Macaca mulatta: one gene and its partners. The protein of the gene in region 2 purifies or fractionates together with the protein of the main gene of each other region. This does not show direct contact. Links are inferred from orthologs where the notes say so. Each region holds a gene or a part of one and is shown on either strand. Other genes may lie near its edges. The genes, in order: IFI16, MKI67 and G3BP1.

Region 1 (2,971 bases), on a different chromosome or scaffold from region 2:
TTTTTTATTAATATATCTTGAACTGCCATTCAGTCATACAATATAGATTTAAATTATTTTATTGCACCAGAAAAATTGCAGTTATTCCATACATTATCAAATGATCCTACATTATTTGGCTTTATGTTGTTTCCAGTATTCTGTGTATTTACAACGAACAGTATAAGATCGCATGCCTCTCAGATCTTTCATTGTCCTCATAGTAGCTTTATAATTATTTCCTTACGTCCTGTGCACCTTGTGTCAGGGTACTGATGTCATGGCTATTGTGAGGTGATTTGATACTGATTAACTTCATTGGGAATGGGTTTCCTAATGCTATGGAAAATTTGCCACACTGATGAGTTCATTAGAGTTAAATCCATCAGAGAGTTAAAGCCATCACTCACAGGTGGCCTATATAATCTTCCGGGTCAGGTCACACTGCTGATCTGTGGAGGCAGCCATCCTGCCTCCATGTTCTGGTCTCTAAGACTCCCTTGATCCCTTCTTGCCTCCATACTTCATCTTCCAGATCAACAGCCTACCCTGCAATTCAAAGTCCTCTTCTACAACTCAGAAATCGTGCAGGCCACTGTGGAGACAGGAGGTTAAAGAAAAGTCCCCTCCTGCCTAATTTTCCAAGTCCATGACTCTTTTTAGTTCCTGCCATTATTCAGATTGGACAGCCTCTAACCTGGGCCCCTTCAGATTAGGGAAGTTCATGGAGTCTTCCAGTGGCTGCCTCAATGATGTTTTTGCAACACAGTGCTGCTTCATTGGAAAGGGCTTTGTGATTTGGGTCTTTAAAATGCCCCTATCTACTAGAATGAGTTCCAACTGAAATCTCATGAAATCTAAGGTTTGTGATTGAGACTATTCCTTACTCTGAGTGCTATTAATAGTGATTTTTTTCTCTATGTTTATTTTTATTTTTTTGTTGCTGTCATATTAGGCAGGAGGGGACTTTTCTTTAACCTCCTCTCTCCACAGTGGTCTGCACTATTTCTGAGTTGTAGGAGAGCACTTTGAATTGCAGGGGCTGCTGATCTGGAAGAGGAAGTATTGAGGCAAGAAGGGATCAAGGGAGACCTAGCGACCAGAACATGGAGGCAGGACAGCTGCCTCCACGGACCAGCAGTGCTCAATGTGACCTAACCTGGGTAGAAAGGAGTAAAATTGAGATTCTTTTAAAATTTCATCTCTTTTGGGAGTCACTTCATGGCAGCTTTGCCTTTACCCTCTGCTTCCCCATACCTCTTGATAGGGGATATGCCTTTTCTTTATGGGTTAATTCTCATCAAAAAAGAAATATTCTTCCTTCCACTCTCATAAAACAATGACGATGATAAAATCACTCCTTAAATCTTTTTAATTTCTTCCGTTACCTAAATTATACTATCTCAGTGATCTCTGTCTAGTTTTCCCTACTTCACCCAGTTAAGGTGATACTTGATGACCAACACTGAGACTGGGATGACTCTCACTAGAGAGTGACCCTGTATTTCCTGTTTTAATTGTGCCTGTGTTTTGGTCTCTACATTCTAAGTTGACACCAAGACTGAAGACTGGACCCGAAGAAGTTTCCACATTAGACGGTGTCCAGAGTGACCTCAAAGAAGTGATGGTGCTGAACGCAACAGAATCATTTGTGTATGAGCCCATAGAGCAGAAGAAAATGTTTCATGCCACAGTGGCAACTGAGAATGAAGTCTTCCGAGTGAAGGTTTTTAATATTGACCTAAAGGAGAAGTTCACCCCAAAGAAGATCATTGCCATCTCAAATTATGTTTGCCGCAGTGGGTTCCTGGAGGTATATCCTTTAACAGTTGTGGTTGATGTGAATGCCGACCGAAAAATGGAGATCCCACAAGGATTGATTAGAAGTGCCAACACAACTCCTAAAATCAGTTATCTTTGCTCACAAGCTAAAGGAAGTTTTGTGAATGGGGTGTTTGAGGTACATAAGGTAAGCCCACACCATTGTTTTATAGTTTCTCCTGCAACCCCAAATTTTTAAAGTCTTGTCAACTGGAGTTTGGTCAACTTACTCAACACAGGAAATCAACCCCTTCACCCCTCCCAGCACTAGAGATAATTGAATAGAGTTCATTTCAGGATATGGGGTACTTTATATCTCAACATTCCTCTTCTTAAGGTGTCACCATGCAAGTTATTTAGAAAGACAGTCACTAGGCTGGGCGTGGTGGCTCACGCCTGTAATCCCAGCACTTTGGGAGGCCAAGGCGGGGGGATCACGAGGTCGGGAGATCGAGACCATCCTGGCTAACAAGGTGAAACCTCGTCTCTCCTAAAAATACAAAAAATTAGCCGGGCGTGGTGGTGGGCGCCTATAGTCCCAGCTACTTGGGAGGCTGAGGCAGGAGAATGGTGTGAACCTGGGAGGCAAAGCTTGCAGTGAGCCAAGATCATGCCACTGCACTCCAACCTGGGCAACAGAGCAAGACACTGTCTCAGGAAAAAAAAAAACAAAAGACAGTCACTAGGGAACTTGGCATTTTATCAGCTGTGATGATCTATTCACAGCCACCCTTGTCCAGGGCAGTGCAGTTTATATCAACACATATATCCTTAGAATTTTGTTTCTTTGAGTTCTGCTCCATCTGCATCAATGACAACTTAATTTAATTGTGAACAAAAGAGTTGCTCTCCCAAGCCTGAATCCTGATTGTGACAATCAGAGTAAGAAATCAAATAGACTACTCTGCTTTAGAATGCAGCTATGTCTAACAGTTAGCTAAAATTCTGATCATTTGGACTTCAAAGTGTTCTTGCCTCTTCTATTCATTAATTCATCAGGAGATTGTTGAGCAACTGACTTCTGCATTAAATAATAAGAAAAATACGAAAGCAAAAAGACTAGAAGAGTCACATAGCTTAACTGCTCAATTTATAAATAGGGGCAATAAAATGCAAAAAAAAAAAAAGCTTCGTGAATTCTTAGGCTTACAGTGTGCCTTTCGGTTTCAAC
Region 2 (3,658 bases):
TGTGTGTGCTAAGAATTACACTTATACCACTCACAAACAGGGAGCAATTCAACCTATTTTTATTTTAGCTAAATCAAGTATTCCCCAGAAGAACACTAATGGAATCTAATCATTCTTATCGATTTGTCCACATGCTTGTAATTATGTGTGGCTAAACTTGATGTGAGTTCAGTAGCACTTAAAGCTCATTAGCTTAGATAGTCTCTGGCTAGAGGGGGGTTGGAGGGCAGAAGCACTCCCCACTGATCAGGAATTCTCACATAGTCAGCGTGTGTCTCAGGGCCACCCCAACCTCTGTTCCTTCTACCTTTCCAAAGAATTCCTTGGACATTTTTCTGTTTCAATAGTTTGTTTTTTTTGGGGGGGGGGAAGAACTTTTCTGTTTCAATAGGTGTTTTTGAACTACAGAAAGGCTGAAGACAGCTACCTGCAATTGTATCATGAGGTACATCATAAGCAGTCAATTAGCCACTAGACAAATTCCTTTTCTTTCTGAAGAAAGTCTTCATAATGTGAATTTGCTATTTGAAGTGGAATCCCCAAAGCAGACACAACAAAATATAACTAAAATGACAAAACGTATGTCTTAGGATAATGCTCCTTCCATGAATGTAACTGGGAGCTGGCAGAGGGCTGTTGAAAATAATGCTTTTTGTTTGCCTTTGCAACCTTGGGCAAAAAAATAGATCAAAACACTGTCTCTTCTAAAAACGGAAAACAGTAAATAGCTTACCTTCTTTGGATTTTCTGCACACCTCTTGACACTCCGCGTTACTCTCTGCACAGATTCACTCTCCAAAGTGCTTGCTGCAGACTGGCTTTTCGTCTTTCTTGATCTCAAACACATGGAGTCTGAATTTCCTGCTTCTCCTTTCCCTTCCTGATTCTGCATGAGAACCCCTGCGCTCTTCTGCCCTCCGCTCTCCTCTGCCACCTTAGGCTGGGAGCTCTTATTCGGTCTCACAGACCTCAAGCACCTTTTGTTTTCACTGACTTTGCCTCTAGGTATGGGTTTCCAGGCTCCGTCATCTGGATTCTGAATGTCCATCTCTGGGGAGGTCTTCATTTCATTTCTGTTTATTTCTATTCTTTCTGCTAATACCAGGACCTCAGTTATTTGCTGTTCTACATCAGTCTTATTTTGGCGTCTGGAGCGCAGGGATATTCCCTAAAGAAATGAGAAGACATCCACAGAATTCCAATAATTAGTAAAACAAATTCAAAATTCAACAGGGAGAACAATCAACAATAGTAAACTAAAAGGAGAAATCATTTGAAAATTACTCACTGATGAATTTTCTAAGAAACCTGTCATCTAAGATAGTCAAGGTAATGCCTTGGTACTTTGTTCCTATGGAGAAATGACTGTCTCTGCTGACAAATTACAAATAAGGCATTCAGGATAAATTTCAATAACAATGCCTAAAAAGACATATATCAACTCTAATTTTTACAGTTTATAGAAAGAAGCTCCATTATTCATTCATTTACAGAGAGTAAATGAACTCCTATTCCTTTAACCATCACTGCTAAGGCAGAATAGGAAATTACCATTTCTGGAGTTTCCCCAAACTTCTCCGGATGCAGTAGGAACCTCTCTAACAGTCCAGACAGTTCCCCCCTTCTCAAGAATACACACTCCCTATCGATATTGTTCTGATAGTTAAAATAGTGACATAGATATTATTTTTAACCCAGTCCTGGTCTTGGTGACAGTATCTAGAACATAGAACTGAACCACCCACCTATCCTCTGATCAATTTTTCAAACATATGAAGATGAACATTACTCATTTGGCTCTTGAGAAACTCTTCTAAGTTTGCATTAATCATTTTATCATTTTTGACTCGTTCTTTTCCCAAATTAGTCTGTTCCCTTTATAGGTCCCAAGAAGATTCTTTACCATGGCCTGCAGTTGTTCACTGTGTTAAATGAAACCCATTTGGGAAATAACCACTTATTTTTTTTTTTTTTTTTTGAGACAGTCTCGCTTAGTCGCCCAGGCTGGAGTGCAGTGGCGCGATCTCGGCTCACTGCAAGCTCCGCCTCCCGGGTTCACGCCATTCTCCTGCCTCAGCCTCCCGAGTAGCTGGGACTACAGGCGCCCGCCGCCTCGCCCGGCTAATTTTTTGCATTTTTAGTAGAGACGGGGTTTCACAGTGTTAGCCAGGATGGTCTCGATCTCCTGACCTTGTGATCCGCCCGCCTCGGCCTCCCAAAGTGCTGGGATTACAGGCGTGAGCCACCGCGCCCGGCCATGATAACCACTTATAATGTCAGGTTACATGCAAAGTATAACACAGAAACTGACAACTATCCAGGATGATATTGGGTGATGTTGTAATACTTCCTCTCACCTTATTTTCAGGGACCGAGTCTTGTAATTTGTGTTCCTCTTTGTTGGTTTTCATGTTGTTGCTGTTCAGCTCTACCACAGGTTCAATTCTTTTTGCAGAAGTCCTCAAACTTCTCTTCATGATGACCATGGGTTCCGGTGATTTGCCTCTCGCCCTGGGAGCAACCCTCTGCTTCTTGCTGGCTGGCAGCTCCTCCGTGATCTCCTCCGGCGCAGGCATGCAGCGCAGCCTCTTGGTTCCTGTGGCGCTTCCATCTTTGCCACCTCCGCTCTTGAAGGGCAGTGGGGGCAGGGAAGTGTTGCTTTTGCTCTGTGATTTTACAGGGTCTGTGGTACTTACCAGGTCTGCCACGGGTTCTACTTTAGGGGCCCGAAGAACTCTTCTGGATGTTTTTAGAGGTTTTCCACTGTCAGGTGTTTTCTTTGGAGCGCTTGTAAAGCTATCAGCAGCACCATTTGCCAGTTCCTCAGTGTGGCCTGGTGTTGGAGAGAGCTCTGGGAAGCTGGCCAGATCTTCTAGGGGTTGGGCCTTTTCCTTAGGTGCTCTTGGCCGTCTCCTGCTGCCAATTACATCTTCTGCGTCCAGCTTCCGCTTTACAGGTTGCTTAAATGCTTTCATGCCTTTGTCCTCGCCTACCGGCTCTTTGTCGGTGTGCGCGGTCTCCCCTGATGTTTGTGTGAGACTGCCGACTGCTAACAGCTCCTCCTTCACTGCTACTTTCTGGGCACGTGTCCTGGGCCGTCTCTTTGAACTTGTTGCAGTGTCTACTAGTTCTGGTGATGATTTGCAGGGTATTTTAGTGGTTTTGTCATCAGTCATTGATTCTTCAGTGTGACCCGGTGCTGGGTCTTTGAAGTCAGCCAGGTCCTCTAGGGCTTGGGCATTTTCCCTGGGTGCTCTTGGCCGTCTCCTGCTGCCAGTTACACTTGCTGCTGGAGCCAGTGTCTGTTTTGCAGATTCCTTCACTGCTTTGATGCCTTTATCTTCACCTACTGGTTCTTTATCTGCGTCCGTGGTTCCCCCTGATGTTTGTGTGAACTTAACTGCTGAAGGCTCTTCTTTTACTTGTACCTTCTGCACACGTGTCCTGAGATGCCTCCTTGTGCTTGCTGTGGTGTCTACTACTTCTACTGGGGGAGATTTGCAGGGTATTTTAGTGGCTTTGCCAGCAGTCAGTGGTTCCTGAGTGTGACCTGATGGTTCAGAGAGCTCTTTGAAGCCGGCCGGGTCTTCTAGGGGTTGGGCCTTTTCCTTAGGTGCTCTTGGCCTTCTCCTGCTGGGTTCCTCTTCTACTGGGTTCG
Region 3 (2,957 bases), on a different chromosome or scaffold from region 2:
TTATTACCTTGAAGTTACCACAAAGTAATTTTTTTTTTCCAAACTAACTCAGACTAAACTTTTCTTTCCACCCACCACACGCTTAATATAAGCTACACAAGTATAAGTTGTATTTCTTCCTATTATCACTGATCTGGGCCAAAAGTGGTTACCAAAGTTACTTAAACTAACCCTACAAAAAACCCATGTGATTCAGTTACATTAAGTTTATGTAAAGGAGATGCTGCCAATTTTCAAATATTTGAGGAACTGGAACCAAACTGGTAATACCAACTTCAATGTGGTCTTAACCATCACAGCAAACCTAGAGTTTCTCAGTAACGCAAACCAAATATTCCTATGCTATCTTCGAACGACAGTCCTAAAGATGAATACTGTTAAGAAAATAAATACGCTGAATTTTACAACCTGGTTGCCCTTCAATTAGTAATGACAAATAATCAAACAAAATTTGTTTCACACGTGTAAACAAAACCTTCACCCATCTCACACACAGCACTCAACAAATAACACATATGTGAAACGAGTATTAGTCTATATTGCCAGATTAAATTTTCTTCCAGAAATATTTTAATAAAAATTGGCCATTTCCAAGTAACACCCACTGCATGCCCATCAATAAAAGAACCATAACAAAATAGAAAATTTACCATATGGCTATGATTTTAAGAAAAAAAATGCGGACACGAGCACATGAGCAAAGTCCAATATTAAAGTAACATTCCTTCTTACGGGCTATGATTAGGAATCTGATTAGATACCAGAATAAAAATACAAATGCTGAACTATTTAGGTCAAAGAACCTCTATAGAAGCATCTGTCTTCGAAGGCATTCCAGTTTGAGACTCAATTTTAGAATAAGGCATAACAAACACGTTAACAAAAGACATACACAAAGTGATGAAAGAGGGATTCTGTAATTCCCCACATACTCTGGACCTAATAAAACAAATCTAGATTTTTTTTTAATTATTTTTGTTTAAACAATTGCCAAGACTGAAATCAAAGATAAATAGAAGGCACAACAGTTTTGCTCTGGTTGTTATCTAAGTTTTGGGAATTTTTTTGCTTTTTGTTTTTTTACAAATACAAATTAAACATGAAAAAACTACTTTAAAAAACAACAGTTCAAGAAAAGCCTATCCGTTGCATTCTAGACATTTAAAACCTATTATCACAATTTAAATTTCAATGGTAAAAACAGGTTTTAGAATTGTTTTGTGATCCTTTATCAAAAGAAAATTTCTATTCCTTTTATTCAGTTTTTAAACATACCAGTGAGAATCAAAATTGTCAAATTTTCCAATGGCAATTTCTCCACACTAGAAGGTAGTCATGACTCTCAAAGAAGAAACAATTTGGGTTTTTCCTGCCTTCAAAATATTATCAAATCCTGTATTTCTTACAGGCTTTTGAAACACATAGAAAATAAGAAATATTCCAATGAAGGAAACATACCAAATGTCAGTAATACACAAGACATTCCTTTGGGGAAATGGCTGTTAAAAAAAAAATCCAGTCTGTATATGCAAAGTAAGCAAGGAAATTCAGTTTTTTTTTTCTTCTTTAAAAGTCCGTTATTCCTAAAATATCATTCCACAAAATTGGAAGTGAAAGACTAAAGGTCAGGAAAGGGAAGAGAGGGAAAGGGAGCACACACCATTAACACACAAAAAAAGTAAAATTATACAAACTTAAGCAGTTTATAACAGACTGGGGTCATACTCCAAGATACCAAAGGCTGGTCGAAGATTTCACCATTCTGTTGGAACTAGGGTTTGTATGACTGCGTGAAGATCCATGAAGATTCACTGCCGTGGCGCAAGCCCCCTTCCCACTCCAAATCCTGGTTTCTGCACCATGCCTCCACGGGGAGGGCCTCTCATTCCACCACCCAGCCCACCTCGAGGGCCTCCAGGTCCCCGAAGGCGATTATCTCGTCGGTCGCCTTCCCTGGCAGCTCGAGTCTTCTTCTCTTCGACATTCAGACGGACCTCACCTCTGAACATGATAGGCTGTAAGAATCAAGGTGACCAGACTTAAGAGTAGTGATGAGCTATCACTATCAAAGAAAGCTATAATAATGAACCAGCAGAGGCTGGGCAATGGCTCATGCCTGTAATCCCAGCACTTTGGGAGGCTGAGGCAAGTGGATCACGAGGTCAGGAGTTCAAGACCAGCCTGACCAACATGGTGAAATACCATCTCTACTAAAAAAATACAAAAATTAGCCAGGCATGATGGCACACGCCTGTAGTCCCAGCTACTCAGGAGGCTGAGGCAGGAGAATCACTTGAATCTGGGAGGCAGAGGTTGCAGTGAGCCAAGATCGCACCATTGCACTCCAGTCTGGGAAACAGAGCAAGACACCGTCTCAGAAAAAAAAAAGAACCAGCAGATTATAAATCAGCTAAATTCTCACAGTTCAGTTTTTTGTTTGTTTGTTTTTTTAATGCGACAGAGTTTCACTCGTCACCCAGACTGGAGTGTAATGGCACGATCTTGGCTCACCGCAACTTCTGCCTCCCAGGTTCAAGCGATTTTCCCTGCCCCAGCCTCCAGAGTAGCTGGGATTAGAGGCGCCCACCACCACACCTGGCTAATTTTTGTATTTTTAGTAGAGACAGGGCTTTGCCATGTTGGCTAGGCTGGTCTCAAACTCCTGACCTCAAGTGATCCGCCCGCCTCAGCCTCCCAAAGTGCTGGGATTACAACAGTTCAGTTTTTAACTGAGAACATACAATTTACCATTAACAAATACCTGGAAAGGTGATTAGGTAGGCAGGCCAGTTTTAAAAAGCCATTTTAAATAGCACAGCAGCACAAGTTAACTCTCATCGTACTTATTTTTTCTCATATAATTATGTAAATTGAATAAAGAATTGCCACCTTCTCCATAGATTTGGAGGCTTAGAATAAAACCTCATCACCGCCAATGCGAAAAGATGGTACTGTAC

Evidence for each region.
Region 1: the proteins of MKI67 (region 2) and IFI16 purify together in Homo sapiens (affinity purification with mass spectrometry; 3 studies listed by BioGRID and IntAct, with this or other methods). This does not show direct contact. The link is inferred for Macaca mulatta from reciprocal best matches to the Homo sapiens genes MKI67 and IFI16.
Region 3: the proteins of MKI67 (region 2) and G3BP1 purify together in Homo sapiens (affinity purification with mass spectrometry; 3 studies listed by BioGRID and IntAct, with this or other methods). This does not show direct contact. The link is inferred for Macaca mulatta from reciprocal best matches to the Homo sapiens genes MKI67 and G3BP1.

What each region holds. Positions count from the first base shown.
Region 1 is NC_133406.1:107,874,380-107,877,350, reverse strand, and holds part of IFI16 (gamma-interferon-inducible protein 16), read left to right. Parts: intron 1-302; exon of another isoform or gene 303-439; intron 440-1,091; exon of another isoform or gene 1,092-1,291; intron 1,292-1,528; coding exon 1,529-1,948; intron 1,949-2,971.
Region 2 is NC_133414.1:140,141,535-140,145,192, forward strand, and holds part of MKI67 (proliferation marker protein Ki-67), read right to left. Parts: coding exon 2,358-3,658; intron 1,169-2,357; coding exon 734-1,168; intron 1-733. UniProt on the Homo sapiens protein: Protein that associates with the surface of mitotic chromosomes and acts both as a chromosome repellent during early mitosis and chromosome attractant during late mitosis.
Region 3 is NC_133411.1:160,744,633-160,747,589, reverse strand, and holds the end of G3BP1 (ras GTPase-activating protein-binding protein 1), read right to left. Parts: intron 2,016-2,957; coding exon 1,809-2,015; 3' UTR 543-1,808; downstream 1-542. UniProt on the Homo sapiens protein: Protein involved in various processes, such as stress granule formation and innate immunity. Plays an essential role in stress granule formation.